Linked DNA regions of Saccharomyces cerevisiae S288C. Changing the gene in region 4 together with the main gene of any one other region gives a genetic interaction. Each region holds a gene or a part of one and is shown on either strand. Other genes may lie near its edges. The genes, in order: DAN1, BUD6, PCL2 and CDC42.

Evidence for each region.
Region 1: mutations in CDC42 (region 4) and DAN1 together harm fitness more than expected from each alone (negative genetic interaction), as found in Saccharomyces cerevisiae (2 studies listed by BioGRID).
Region 2: mutations in CDC42 (region 4) and BUD6 are lethal when combined (synthetic lethality), as found in Saccharomyces cerevisiae (2 studies listed by BioGRID, with this or other methods).
Region 3: mutations in CDC42 (region 4) and PCL2 are lethal when combined (synthetic lethality), as found in Saccharomyces cerevisiae (2 studies listed by BioGRID, with this or other methods).

Annotation. Positions count from the first base shown.
Region 1 is NC_001142.9:708,130-711,877, forward strand, and holds DAN1 (Dan1p), read right to left. Parts: upstream 1,579-3,748; coding exon 682-1,578; downstream 1-681. Other genes in the region: YJR149W (putative nitronate monooxygenase), read left to right, coding at 1-245. UniProt on the Saccharomyces cerevisiae protein: Component of the cell wall.
Region 2 is NC_001144.5:768,564-773,704, forward strand, and holds BUD6 (formin-mediated actin nucleation enhancer), read right to left. Parts: upstream 3,122-5,141; coding exon 755-3,121; downstream 1-754. Other genes in the region: EST2 (telomerase reverse transcriptase), read left to right, coding at 1-633; MMS22 (Mms22p), read left to right, coding at 3,377-5,141.
Region 3 is NC_001136.10:232,954-236,510, reverse strand, and holds PCL2 (cyclin PCL2), read right to left. Parts: upstream 1,585-3,557; coding exon 658-1,584; downstream 1-657. Other genes in the region: AAA family ATPase CDC48, read left to right, coding at 1-354; VCX1 (Vcx1p), read right to left, coding at 2,624-3,557. UniProt on the Saccharomyces cerevisiae protein: G1/S-specific cyclin partner of the cyclin-dependent kinase (CDK) PHO85. Essential for the control of the cell cycle at the G1/S (start) transition. Together with cyclin PCL1, positively controls degradation of sphingoid long chain base kinase LCB4.
Region 4 is NC_001144.5:603,616-606,614, reverse strand, and holds CDC42 (Rho family GTPase CDC42), read left to right. Parts: upstream 1-1,827; coding exon 1,828-2,403; downstream 2,404-2,999. Other genes in the region: BNA5 (kynureninase), read left to right, coding at 1-857. UniProt on the Saccharomyces cerevisiae protein: Involved in development of cell polarity during the cell division cycle, and essential for bud emergence. Affects signaling in the pheromone-response pathway through the STE20 protein kinase.

The DNA.
Region 1 (3,748 bases), on a different chromosome or scaffold from region 4:
TATCAGGAAAGCCTGCAAGGACCATCTCTACTCCTTTTATCGAAAAAGTCATTGCTAATTTTCAAGGTGAGGAGCTTCCTCCATATGGCTACATGTATAGTGCTTTCAAGCAAGTAAGAAAAAAGTATCCAGAATTGGCTAACTTTATTTTAGCTGGACAAGGATTTCAGAATGTCCAATCAGGAATCACAACAGACAAGAAAATTGAAACTATGGGCGCAAGATTGAAAATTGACGGAAAATAATATAAATACATATAAAAGACCTGATACTTATTGACACAAATTTTCTGGATGACCTTTTTCTATATGATATATATACGTCGCTATTGGATCGTAGGTTACTTGGCCATTATTTGAGCGTAACCGTTCACAGGATGTGGGCTTTAAGGAATACAAAATCCAAATATGGAAAAAATTTGATATCAATTTAGGGCTTTAATATCTAAAGGTATTTATTTTTTTCACAGTTTTTTTTCTGTTAAGCTGTCTGCAATAAGGAATGCTCCTGACATGAAATTCGAAAAGGACCGGAAATAGTTGGAGCACAAGACTGCAAACTAAAAAACAAATTTCTTTGGAATTTCCTTACGCTTATAGTATATATCTTATAAATATTAAAATTAAGAGAATTCAATTATTTTACATCATTTATACAACTGTACAGGGCCGCACATGATCACTATAACAATAGAGCGGCGGCACCAGCAATAGCAGCGGCACCGAAAACACCGTTATTGAACTTGTTAGCACCGTTAGTGGTAACGTCAATAACACGAGATGCTGACGATGTGACAGAAGTAGCTGTAGATTGAGCTTTGGAGGAGACTGGCTTAGTCACAGTTGAACAGACGTTATTTGAACAACTAGTTATGGTAGTTTCAACAGTGGAAGCTTGAGTCTTTGTGACGGTGCTGTCAGTACCATTTTGGACCACTGGAGTGACTGAGATAGAAGATGTAGAAGAAACTGGAGCTGTGGTATTGGCAAAACTAGCAGAGCTTGCAACAGAGCTTGCAACAGAGCTTGCAACAGAACTTTCAGCAGAACTTGCAATGGTGCTTGCAGCAGAGCTAGATTCAGATGAAACAGTAGCTTGGGTGGAAGCAGCGTTTGAGCTGGTCTCTGCTGAACTTTCAGAGGAGCTAGAAGACTCAGTGGCGGCACTAGAAGCTTCTGAAGTGGAGGTGGAAGAAGCCTCTGTGGTAGAAGCTGGTACTGCAGTAGCAATACCTTCATTCGCAAGTGCTTCGGAAATAGCACCCATCAATCTAGTAGAGTACCATGGCACACCGGTGATCATTCTGGTCACTTCATCACCTGAAATACCAGTCAACATGGTGGTGAAATCGCCACCGGCAAAAACAGCCTTGGCAATTTCAGGTGGGTATGTTTCAGTCTTATGCAAAGCCTGGAAAGCGTAATATTCAGATAAATGGGCGCCAATATCAGAAACGTAAACAGCCAATTCAATCAAATTGACCCTTTCATCATAAGGGGATAGAGTGGTGGTCACGGATGCGGCGGTTGCACTTGCCACTAATGCTGCGGCGACAGCTAATATACTAATTCTAGACATTACTTGGGGTATATATTTAGTATGCTACACTTTTATCTGAAAAAGAAGAAATAGTACCGTGTCGACATAAAAATAGTATCATTTAGTCGTGCTATTTTATACGCAGTATTTTCAATCATTTCTATTCAATGAGTACCCAGGGACCCTTTTGCATTTCTAGCATTCTCTGTTCCTGAACGATGTTTTGTTAGAGGCCTCGTATAGATCTTGGCATTTTCAAAGGCACGCGTTGTATTGTTTTATTGCCTATCAAAGGAACGCGCAGGAAACATGAAACTTTTCAGAGGAGCGTCTACGGAGGATACATTCATCAATTTTTCCTCATAAATTAAACGATGTGTACAAAAAGGACGAATTGACCCCGTCGTTCGGCGAAACCTTATGTATTTTCCTGGCCATATGTGCTAAACGACAGATAAAATAGGAAATTCTCCCCATTTTCGACTAATAAGATAAGCGGGAGATAGCATCATATGAACTTTTGCACTCAAACGAAGAAAGCACGTGAGGATTGAAGAAAACGGATCGCCGAATCCAGCGTGAATTGAGCTCAACAATTTTTAACTATATCAATCTCTTTCACTTTAAACACTACCACTTAAATCTTTTTAAAACGCTTTGCCCAATGACCCTTTTTTTATTAAGGTTGCTGAGCTATTTTTTCTATACTATTGTCAAACTCCAAAGATATTTTGAGCTTTATTTTCTTGCAAACAAAATACCCTACTGCTTAATAAATGCAATGTATACATAGTTTTCAAGGTACATTATATTTTAAAGTTACCTCAGGCCTGTTTGCCCTTGCATTCTACAGTCCCTTTGTAAGGGTGTGAGACAAAAGGCCTCGTTAGCTACGACTGTTGAAATCGTTTGAATTCGGCTTACAATCTAACTTTGACTGCGCAATTGTTCATGAATTTATAGTGTGCTTGCGAGGGGCAACTTCATACGAAGGCTTGTAGGACCCCTAAGTGCATCCATAAACATGCTCAAAGATTGTCTTAGAAACCACAAGGAGAACGCACAGTATGAATTAAATAAGTTGCGCTCTGCTAGAATATTTTGACGATTACAAAGTCAGAGATCGAAACATTTCCGCTGTGCAACTAAGTAATTTTCCCAATCTTTGGAGAAAATCAATAATCACAAGATTAGTACTTATCCTCTTGTAGGCTTCTCTCTTTCGCTATAAATAGAGCAGAAAAATATGATACAGAAGGTCGAAAGTTTGCTTCGCTGACTGAAGCTTTCTGTCAAGAGTTGACAAAAACATACAAGATTCAGTATTGATAATAAATGGCCTGCACTTAAGACTCAACCATCCCAATAAGTTACCTAGTTGTGTTACCTAAGCTAGGAAAATACACATTGAAAGATGTTTTACAAAGTATTGTAAAGGTACAATGCATTCTAGGCCGAATGTTCATTTCGGATTGTAATATGTAGTCAACGATAACGAACCTCATGGTTATGGTTATTTCTGTTCCAAATTTGCAAAATAGATCTTCATTGTCGTTGTCGGAACGGGTGGTTTATAATTTTAGTAACCATAGTAACTGAATAAAGTGACCAAACAGTATACTTCATAGCTCCAGGCTAGGAAACAAGATACTACTGCGAAACTAGCGGAAGAAGTTACGTTAAAGATCTATTAATTCAATGTTAATTCAAATTTAATATACGTAGGGATGCGAGTTATTACATTGGAAATATAGCAAATCACTGAAATACCATCATTTTGAATACATTCGTCATCGCCGCATCAGTTATACGTTTCTGCTATACCGTATAAGAATACTTGCTTCTATTCTTAGTTATACTGAATTTTAGACATTAATAAACTACTAACGGTTGCTACTACACTACACTATTCTTCTACCAATGTCGATGAGAGCGAACTCTTCAGAAAGCAGTTTACTTGAATAAATTTTTTCAAAGGCCCTCATTTCTAATGCCTTGTGACCTAGAATTTAGCAGCGTCAACTTTATGGAGCGTTATTTCTCAATTCCATCTTTGTGCCGCGTAGTTCTATCTTACATAACTTTATTTTAAGAAGAGCTTTAGTTCATGTTCTTGGAAGAATTCCTTTTTTGACACGATTTTTAACCTAAAGGCTAAATTTTATTTAAACTAACAGTGAACAAAGTATTTAAAGCTTCATATGTGAGT
Region 2 (5,141 bases), 170 kb from region 4:
ATATCAACAGACCAACAGCAAGTGATCAATATCAAAAAGCTTGCCATGGGCGGATTTCAAAAATATAATGCGAAAGCCAATAGAGACAAAATTTTAGCCGTAAGCTCCCAATCAGATGATGATACGGTTATTCAATTTTGTGCAATGCACATATTTGTTAAAGAATTGGAAGTTTGGAAACATTCAAGCACAATGAATAATTTCCATATCCGTTCGAAATCTAGTAAAGGGATATTTCGAAGTTTAATAGCGCTGTTTAACACTAGAATCTCTTATAAAACAATTGACACAAATTTAAATTCAACAAACACCGTTCTCATGCAAATTGATCATGTTGTAAAGAACATTTCGGAATGTTATAAATCTGCTTTTAAGGATCTATCAATTAATGTTACGCAAAATATGCAATTTCATTCGTTCTTACAACGCATCATTGAAATGACAGTCAGCGGTTGTCCAATTACGAAATGTGATCCTTTAATCGAGTATGAGGTACGATTCACCATATTGAATGGATTTTTGGAAAGCCTATCTTCAAACACATCAAAATTTAAAGATAATATCATTCTTTTGAGAAAGGAAATTCAACACTTGCAAGCATATATATATATATATATACATATAGTTAATTAGTACTAATAATACATGAAATACTGACAGCTTATGATGCTGATAAGGAAAATATTGCCGCAAACTTTGTAATAAGCCAAAAGCACTAATCTCTTTTCCGTTAGCTTTCATAAAATTAGTGTATTTAAGTAAACCCCGGCCCAAAATATGCTCTCAAATTTGCTTCATCCTTCTGCTTTCTTATCCTTTCTACTTCTTCAAAGCCTCCCGATTTTTTCAGGTTTGAATTACCCACAAAATTTTCCAGTTCATCATCAAATTCATTACTAGCTTTAAGTTTTCTTTCCATCTCCCACATCTTCTCAGCCTTGTCAATAGCTTCGACCCTACTATCGTGGTCAGGGTTTAAAGATTGGACGGCCACCATAACTTGCTCCCTTACCTGATTAAATGTGCCCGGTCTCATAATAGGCAAAATAGGATTACTTTTTGATCTCGAAGGGTTTTTTTCTTGTTCTTCACAACATAACTTAATAAGATCGAAAGTTTCTAATGCCTTACCCAAGTCTTCCTTCAAATCTAAAATCAACTCTTCCTGCAACGTGAGAAACTGTTGTTCTTCACAGACCTTATCGAGCTCAGCTTCCCAAGTTTTTTTCCAATGTGGTTTTTCAGTATCAATAAACTCCTGTAGTTTAAGTACATCTGCTTGGGCATTTTCTAAATCCTTGGATACGGTTTCTAGCTTCTTTTTAGCGGGCTGAGACCTACGCTCAGCAACGTCTTTCCTCATAATTTCGATTACATCTTGCAAATCATCTACTTTACTTAGCAGAGTATCGGATAAATCACCGAGTTCGGTCTGTGATTTTTCCATGTACATTCTGTTGGAAGAGTTTTTGGCAGAAAATGATAAAGACTTAAAGTTATCGACCTTTCGTAAAATGTTGAAAATAGTCTCATTAATATTTGACCTATTAATATTATGCACTTGTTTTATTTTCCCCAATTCGTACTGAATATCTTTGATCGTTTTATCATCATCTTTTTTGTTTTGCCCCACAAGATCGTGTTTGTTAGCTTCAAGGCCAGGTTGTGGTAAAACTTCCGTTTGCTTGCCGCTAATTGCAGAACCAAAACTCATTTCTTTTAAATGTCTTATTATATCATTCTGACTATTCGATATCTCCATCTTAACTGTGTCAATGAATTCCTTGATCGTATTATTTGGATTCTCTTCGAGCTTTAGCTCGATAACAAACCCTTCTTTAATATCGAGAAGATTTAGTTCCTCTAATTCATAGAATACTCCATATTGAGGATCCATAATATATATGTCTGGGAAGGAATTTGCTCCAGGAGAATACGCAAAGCGCTCAATAAATAGGAGCCTTAATGCGTTTTTTGTAGTAGGCAGTTGCACATGACACTTCTTTGTTTTGTCTCCTATCCTTAAAAATACTGGACAAGTTCCATTCATGGCTTTATCTGGCGAAGTTGTAACAACGCTTGATAATCTTCGTGGAGATGCACGAACATTCTCAATAGGCAATGGCGTTTTCGCCAATGGACTCGCCTTTGATACATCGTCAATGCTTTTACCCTTATTTTCAGCTGAATTAATGTTTCTATCATCATCATTGTTGTTATTTCCGTATAACTTTGACTTTCTTACGGTTTCCTCTAGATGCAACATCGAGGGTGAAGGAGTTGTCATGAGGCCGGCAGCCGCAGCAGCTTCTGTTGTAGACTGATTTGTCAATTTAGCCATATGGTAGGCAGAGTATCTCTTTGAGGCTCTCCTTTGTAAATTAGTTCCCTTCTTCAATTGTGAAAGTGCATCATCATCATCAGATGCGTTTGGAGCATTGTTAGATTTAAGGTTTTGTTTAATATTAGTTCTTGGTTTTGTCAATGTTGCCTCTGCTGACTGAGCAGAGGGTGTTCCCGTAGAAGTAGAATTCACTTTTTCCCCATAGCTGTTTTCGACTGAATCGCTTTGCCTCTGATCACGTACAATACTGCTTTTTCTGCTACTTAATGGAGTCCCCTCACGGGTCCCTTCACTACCCAATGAAAGGTTACTAGTAAAGGAAGGGTTTTGTTGATGATGTGATTTTACACTTATCCGATGCTCTTGCTGCATATTCTTCAAAATTGCTTGTTTAACCTTTAGTTTGTCTAAAAGTGTCACTATAATCTCTCTGATTTTTGGCAGATGTTTATTTAAAGTTTCATCAGATGGTGGTTCCCTCAATGTCACTTCCAATACACGTCTTAAAGCCATTGGCACATCACCAACATCTGACATGTCAACTTTCGCATGCATGAAGAATTTCGATACGACTTTGAAGTCATTGCCCAACTGAACGTATGCATCAGATACTAATCTTCCAGAGGTTGTCCCCTTAGACCATTGTGTTAAGACCTGGAGGAGGTGCTTGGTGGACATCAGCAACTTTGTTACTGTCGTTTCAATACTACTACTGCTAGAAGCAGTTCTTTTAATCTTTGGGGTGCCATACGTAGGGTCATCCACGGCCATCTTCATCTAATTTTAAAATAATACGAGGATTACTACACCAATTTGGCAGCCAGCTTCTACTCTTTTTCCCTTTTCTTGGGTTTGTTTTGATGCCATTATCTCAAGAATGCATAATAGTAGGATAAAATTCGTTCAGCTCGGCTAGCGAGATATCTTCAAAGAGTAAAGCGCATCTGCGTGTAAAATTAAATTCAAGAAGTGAAAGAATAAAAGATAGGATTGTAGATTTGAAGTTTAGTGGTAGCGTCAGCAGATAAGCTTATGGATGTTGATGAACCGAATCCTATTGTGATATCAGATTCTGAGGCCACTGATGAGGAAATTAGTATCATATACGAACCCGAATTCAATGAAAATTATTTATGGGCAGAGGAAAACGTCCAAGAAGCAAGCAGATCACAGAAAATTGTCACTGAGAGGTTGAGCCTGGATTCCACTGCTGGAGAATCTTGTACTCCTTCCGTAGTAACTGATACACAAGTTACTACGGGGCTTCGGTGGTCTTTGAGGAAGAGGAAGGCTATTCAAAAGATGCCATACAGTTTAGAACGCATAAAGCATAGGCAGTTGCTAGAGGGCTATGATATCTCTAGTTTTGACAGCATTTCGAATCAGTTGACCTTACCGAAGAACGCTTCTACAGTGATTCACTCAAATGATATTTTACTTACAAAGAGAACTGGTAAACCCTTAGATGAGCAGAAAGATGTTACAATCGACTCCATTAAACCCGAAAACAGCTCGGTTCAATCTCAAAGATATGATAGTGATGAAGAAATACCAAAGAAAAGGCATCGTACTTTTAAAGACCTCGACCAGGATATAGTATTTCAATCAGGTGATTCTACGGAAGATGAACAAGACTTGGCTAGTACAAATTTACAGAATACTCAAAATGACGAAGTAATATTTAGAGGAAGAGTATTGAATGTAAGAACTGGTTACCGTGGGGTCCTGCCAAGAGTTGCTTGGGAAAAGTCGTTGCAAAAGCAGCAGTCTTCAAAAGTCACGAAAAGAAAAACTCAATTATTGAACCATAAGGGTGTGGCTAAGAGGAAAATGAACAGAAGCGCCCATATTGAAGATGAAGAACAGAACTTATTGAACGATCTTATTGCACCTGATGACGAACTGGATATCGAGGAAAACGCCCCTCCAGATATATACTTAGGAAATCTTCCAGAGGATCGTGAGGCTAACGAAAAGGAATTAAAGGAATTGCAAGAATATTATGAGAGCAAGTATAGTGAAGACGCACAATCGGCTGGAACTTCTGGTTTTAATTTAAATGAGGAATACCGCAATGAACCAGTGTATGAGCTGGAATATGACGGACCGGGGAGCTGCATATCACATGTGTCTTATAAAGACCAGCCTATTATTTATTTGAATTCACGGCATTCAGATAGCGGATTTAGTGAGCAATACAATATATCTGCCGAAGATAATCAAAGTGTAATTTCCCTAGATGCTGCTGAAGAGCATAACGATGGTATAATTGACAAGATGTTGGTTAAACCTAAAAGAATTAAAGCAACCAATGATGCCAACTTTTTGAATACAAAAAGTAAGAGAGTGAGAAGATATAAGTACAAATATCGAAATTCTTGTCTGGCCCCAAGTACAAAAGCTATCAAAGTCGGAAAACGGTCAGCGCATAAATCTCATTTGGCAGCTAATAATCCAGTTTCATTTGTTTCTAAGAAGAATCATGTAATTGATGATTATTTTTTTGAAGAATTAGAATCTCAATCCCTAGAACAGGATGACAGCTCTTCTCTCAAGCCACAGAAAAAAAGAAGGAAGAAGAAAGCACCTATATACTCAAGTTTCTCCGCTGATCTTGAATCGAGACGAAAACCAGTTTTCAATACTGTTGTAGAGGTTCCCACGAACCGATACGCTTTCACAAAGCCAAATGTACGTAATAGGGACAGCATTAATCATGACATGGAATTTGAGGAAGAAGACTCCAATCAAGAGCTTGGACCAATAATGGTCGTACTTGACTCAATTTTACTAAAAA
Region 3 (3,557 bases), on a different chromosome or scaffold from region 4:
CACGAAGCTGAAAAGGAAGTGAAAGTAGAAGGTGAAGACGTGGAAATGACAGATGAGGGAGCAAAGGCTGAACAAGAACCAGAAGTAGATCCTGTTCCATATATTACAAAGGAGCATTTCGCAGAAGCTATGAAGACCGCTAAACGTTCTGTTTCAGATGCTGAATTGCGTCGTTATGAAGCATACTCACAGCAAATGAAAGCATCTAGAGGTCAATTCAGTAATTTCAACTTTAATGACGCTCCATTAGGTACTACGGCTACGGACAATGCTAACAGTAATAATAGTGCTCCAAGTGGAGCAGGTGCTGCATTTGGTTCTAATGCGGAGGAAGATGATGATTTGTATAGTTAGTTATATGCCAGGTATATTTTTATTTTAAATCGTAAATTCAAGTCATTTCTATAAAAAAAATCGTCAATTTTAACTCAATATTTTATGGCCCTTTTTATATTTATTTTCAAATTTGTCAAAAAAAGGAGAGCTAAATCATTAGAAAAAGAATGCATTATGGTATATTTATGTATATTAATATGTAAAATAAGAAAAAAGGGAGGCTGTAGGACCTCGGTCGTAAGAACATTTACCTGTGTTCTTCCGCCTTTTCCGAAAGTGCCATGAAGAAACGCAGGCCAGGCATAATTTCGACATTTAAAATCACGATTTGAAGTAATTTGACCAATTCGATTTCTTTACTTTTGTATCTTCTTTTATTATCTGTTTGTTTAACCCAGTTTTCAAGATCACAGGGCGCGCTTTACTAAAATTAAAAGGCTTAATTGTCGGTATTGGCCTATTTTCCTTGTTATCGTGTTTGGAGTCTATGTTGTATGTTCGCGGAGAAAACTTGTCGCTAATGTTATTGGATTCGTGTAGTTCGGGCAAAGTTCGTATTCTGTTACTATAATTGGATAAATTCGATCTTCTAGATTCCAACGTGGAGAGGGTCGAAGTGGAAGCTAAAGATGGGATAGACATATTGGACGATGAGCGCGAATGGGAAATGGATGTTTTGTTTACTATGTCTTTTTCTTGAGCAGAAAAATTTTTCAACGTGCGACAGTCTCTTTGCGATTTGTACAACTGCTCCTCTTTGATAGGCTTCAAGAATGGCGAGAGACATGTAATTAAATCATCTGTGGAAATGGTGACGTCCCAATCAAAATATTCTAATAGTTCCCTTTCAATAGTATTAACCTCCCTTAGGATGAGAAGGCCGTCCGTATATTCGGCCCAGTGTTTGTTAAGAGGGGAGGAATCATTTAACGTTTTTGCAGCTAATATTAGGCAACCTAAGAATATTCTATGCCTGGTGGTCTCTATACCATAAACGTTACTCGGTATTATTGATCTTAATTTGGCCAAATATACAGAGGTAGCCATCAGAGTCGGAGTTTGAACGTTAGAATGCTTGATCAGTCTGTTGATGAATTTAGTCAACGGTGGTGCTGGCAATGCAATATCTATCATACTATTCGTCTTCTTAATTTTGATAATGGAAGCTGTGGTCGATGCTAGATATTGCACCATTTCCTTAGATACAGCCTTCCTATTGAATTTCAGCAAGGCTTCGTAGTTTGACATCTTTTGTAGTAAAAAGTTGCTGCCGTATTGAAATTGCTCTTGTCGGATCAGGTTGTTTAGCACCGGGTCTTACTTTTATAAAGGAGAATTATAAAGTGAAAGAAAGGAGAACTTATAAGACTAAAGAAAAAAACACTTAAGAAGCACTTAAACTTGCATTAGATGTGTAAATCGATCAACCTGTAACATGTTTGAGGAAGGTCTCACACGTCTCCGAAGTTACAGCTACCACTTAGCGTGTCTGCGGGAACAATAGATCTCTTCCCAATTTGCACTAAATAGGTAACTAGCCAGGCCTATAAAAATCTTCGAGCGGAGAATTGACCGTAGTATCTGCCAAAAAAATCCACCTGCACCAGCATTTTTCGTGTTACGCGAAGTCTACTTTTCGCGTCATCAAAAGACGCTATAAAAATATAGCTGGGCTAATTTTATTCTATAGCTGGCCATTTTTTTATGCGATATCTGCTGGTTTTTTACAGCTGGAATGCCGTGACAGATGTAACAAGAATGTGTTTCAGCTGGCATTCTCACTCAGAAATGTAAGGCTAAAATCCGCTAAAATAGGGCTTCGCGTCTCATGATCTATTCACATTTGTTTCTAATAAACTATACTACAAAACGAAATTCTGTTGTGCAATGATGTAGGAAGCTCCATGAATTTGAGCAAAATTCCTAAATATTCTCGTTGTAATGAATAACGTTACCCTGAACAGTGCAGCAAAGCAGCTGATGTGCTGCAAGAAGAACACGAGCTGTAGTTGAGAAGCTTCGAAATATTAAACCTTTTATCAGAATGGAAATGGTGCAGAATTTGAGTTTCGAAGAGTGTACAAAATATTTTGTTGGTTTTGAAAACTTTTTTTCAGATAAAATTCGATATAAAAATTAGTTGCGTAAACATAATATGTATAATATAACGATCATAATAATGACTTGCTAGTCATAATCATCTTTGTATTGGTCCATCGATAGAATTACGAAGAAGATAAAATATAAAAAAAAAGAGAATGGTGAATTTCTGCGCTACTGTTCTTACTCATAAACTATTTCCAATAGAGTCAAGGGTTTTTTCGTCTGGATAATAGAAAAATGCCATTGCAATCAAAATATACATAGCTAGAGACATGACACCCTCCAACCAGTTTGACTCACCATCGAGAATTAAGTAATTGGATAAGAAAACAGCAATAAAAAGAGTAGCGGTTTCAAAAGTGGAGAAATTTAGCGTCATTGGAACATCGATCATCCAGCCCACAAGAACCATGAATGGTGTAACAAATAAGGCAACTTGTAAAGAGGAACCGATGGCAACACCTAGCGCCAGATCCATCTTATCCTTCATGGCCACCAAGACTGAAGTGACATGCTCTGCGGCATTACCCACAATAGGAATGACAATCAAACCTATAAATGTTTTAGATAGCCCGGTAGATTCAACAACGTTGTCTATCGTACCGACTAGAAAATCCGCACAAAAAGAGATGATCACAGTTGTACCTAGAAGTATCACCAATGATGACTTGACACTCAAAGAGTGATGTGGATTCCTGGAAATGGTGCTCATAACTTCATCGGTCTCTTCTTCTTGTTGCTCAAACAAGGCGTGATGGCTCCCTAGCTGGAAATATAAGAACAAAACGTAAACGATGAGAATAACAATAGAGGTGCCTCTGGATAACTCCAATATTTTTCCATCGATGAAGTGGTCTTCCTTGCCATGAGGTAGGGTGGCTCTAAAGGCAGCGGGAATCAGTAGGGATGCACACGCAATGGCAAGTAATGAGGACATTGTTTGAGCGGCGGTTTGGTTGAATGTCTGTTGGACTCTATTGTATCCACCGAATATGAAGCATAATCCAAGCACTAACAGCAAATTAGAAAGAAGACTACCTAGCATCGAGGCCTGCACAATTCTCACTTGACCTTTTTTCAGGGCAATGATAGAAACAATTAGTTCCACAGCGTTACCA
Region 4 (2,999 bases):
AGGGAGAGACTTATATCAGAACTCAAGATATCCTGGATACCATAGAGGTAAATCAAGATGAATTGGCGCTGGTCTGTTTGTCAGGTGTTCAGTATTACACGGGGCAATATTTCGATATTGGCCGAATCACCTCATTTGCCCACCAATTCCCCGACATATTGGTTGGATGGGATTTAGCACACGCTGTAGGGAACGTCCCATTGCAACTTCATGATTGGGGTGTTGACTTTGCCTGTTGGTGTTCTTACAAGTACTTGAATGCCGGGCCTGGTGGAATTGGTGGCTTATTTGTCCACTCGAAGCATACTAAACCAGACCCTGCTAAGGAAAGTTTGCCAAGATTAGCTGGTTGGTGGGGCAATGATCCTGCTAAGCGATTTCAAATGCTGGAAGTATTCGAGCCGATTCCAGGAGCATTGGGATTCAGGCAATCTAATCCAAGCGTTATTGACACAGTGGCATTGAGAAGTTCATTGGAATTATTTGCGAAGTTTAATGGTATTAATGAAGTTCGTAAAAGATCGTTGTTGCTGACGAACTATATGACGGAACTGTTGGAAGCCTCCAAGTATTACAAACACCCTTTAAGGATCGAGAAATTACCATGTTTTTTTACAATATTAACTCCAACAAGCACAGATGAAGAACATGGCGCCCAATTGTCACTTTACTTCGATTCTGACACTGGAAAAGAGGATATTATGCCCAAAGTTTTCCAATATTTGCATGACCATGGTGTCATTGGCGATGCAAGAAGACCAAACGTAATTAGATTGGCTCCTGCTCCCTTATATAATACATTTTCAGATGTATACATTGCGGTGAATGCACTAAATGAGGCGATGGATAAGTTGTAGTCCTAGAGTGACCGCATCGCCTTCATCTTCTTTTGGATATTATATATGACGTAGTTTGAAATTCGTATACTTACTGATAGCGAACCTATAAATTTATACTTTCTTTCCAAGAATTAAAATAAATATCTGGGCCCGTGTATTACTTACCAGTTGCCGTGCATAGTCGTGAATCTTCTTTCATTTATCAACCTTCTTCCAATAATGAAGCTAACTTATCAGTGGTAGTACTGTTGAACGAAACAAGCCGGAACTCAAAAGGGTAATTTCGTGAAAAACAATCATCTACGGTATAAATAACAATTTAATTTACGTCTCTTTCGAAAATGCTCGTGTAGCTCAGTGGTTAGAGCTTCGTGCTTATAGCAACATTCGGTTTCCGAAGTTTCTGTGCCAAAGACCTTTCAAACAGGCCTTTAAAAGCAACGCGACCGTCGTGGGTTCAATCCCCACCTCGAGCACTTTCTCTTTTTTTTTTAAAAAAAGTTGCATTATTTCTATCAACTGTTGTAGCTACGTTACACCTAATTTTGTATTGTAGACTGTTAGATAATCCACATATACAGGTAAATACGGCACATTGTCTTCTAAACATCGCATTAAAGATGTCTTCCACCGTCGATTCAAGGGTCATTCAATACGGGTAATACTGCTTCCATTGGGCCCTTCCAAATGAAACAAGATACGGGAAAAAGTGATAAAAAAAAGCAAACAAGGTTGATTGATCGATGATAGACGCGATTCTTGGAAAAGGCAAGAGCAGCGTTTTGATAAATAGGTTCCAGGTGTACCGAGATATACTGATTATCCTTCTCTGTCATTCTTCACTTTTTGCAATAGGTTTCCTTTGTCGCAAAAAATTATATTCGTTATTTATTATACTATTCTATTTTCCTGAGGAGATAGGTTAACAAACGAATTAGAGAAGCAAAACTTATAAAACAAGAAATAAACGTATTAGCTCTTCCACAAAATGCAAACGCTAAAGTGTGTTGTTGTCGGTGATGGTGCTGTTGGGAAAACGTGCCTTCTAATCTCCTATACAACGAATCAATTTCCAGCCGACTATGTTCCAACAGTGTTCGATAACTATGCGGTGACTGTGATGATTGGTGATGAACCATATACGTTAGGTTTGTTTGATACGGCCGGTCAAGAAGATTACGATCGATTGAGACCCTTGTCATATCCTTCTACTGATGTATTTTTGGTTTGTTTCAGTGTTATTTCCCCACCCTCTTTTGAAAACGTTAAAGAAAAATGGTTCCCTGAAGTACATCACCATTGTCCAGGTGTACCATGCCTGGTCGTCGGTACGCAGATTGATCTAAGGGATGACAAGGTAATCATCGAGAAGTTGCAAAGACAAAGATTACGTCCGATTACATCAGAACAAGGTTCCAGGTTAGCAAGAGAACTGAAAGCAGTAAAATATGTCGAGTGTTCGGCACTAACACAACGCGGTTTGAAGAATGTATTCGATGAAGCTATCGTGGCCGCCTTGGAGCCTCCTGTTATCAAGAAAAGTAAAAAATGTGCAATTTTGTAGTCATATTAGTATATGCCCATCTTTTCTTAATCTATATCTAAAATTAACTTATATATACACCTTCCTATCCTTTTATTATCGTTGTATTTCATTTTTTCGCTTTGCTCAGAGTTGATTCTCTTTGTTTCTTGCGCCAGGATCATCCGTCTGTTCAAGGCGGAGTAGTGCAAAAAAGTCGAGCCGTCAAGCCCCAAACGTTCAATACTTCCATGTTCTTCAACGCTAAACGCGACATTTGCGAGTCCTACCACGTCTTCTCCGTTTACGGGCAAAAACACCTCTTAACATCAAAAATTTGGCTTTCGTGCTTTTTTCTGAAATATATTCGTTGCATAGACACGGTATGCATATGAAACATTCAGGCTAGCAATCAATACTTAAACCCTTTACGGGCGTGCATGATGTATCAGGAAACCAGTTTGAGAATGTCGCCCACCAAGCTCCATGGAAAGGCGCAAACCAATTACGCGGAACACAAAAATGGGCCTTTTTTTGATCGCCTCAAAGGCCGGACCAGGTTCGTTAAACGTCTGTAGAGGTGCCGAACAATTTTTGTCTAGAATAAATTTCCATTTTTCTGGCATTTAATTCTAGGC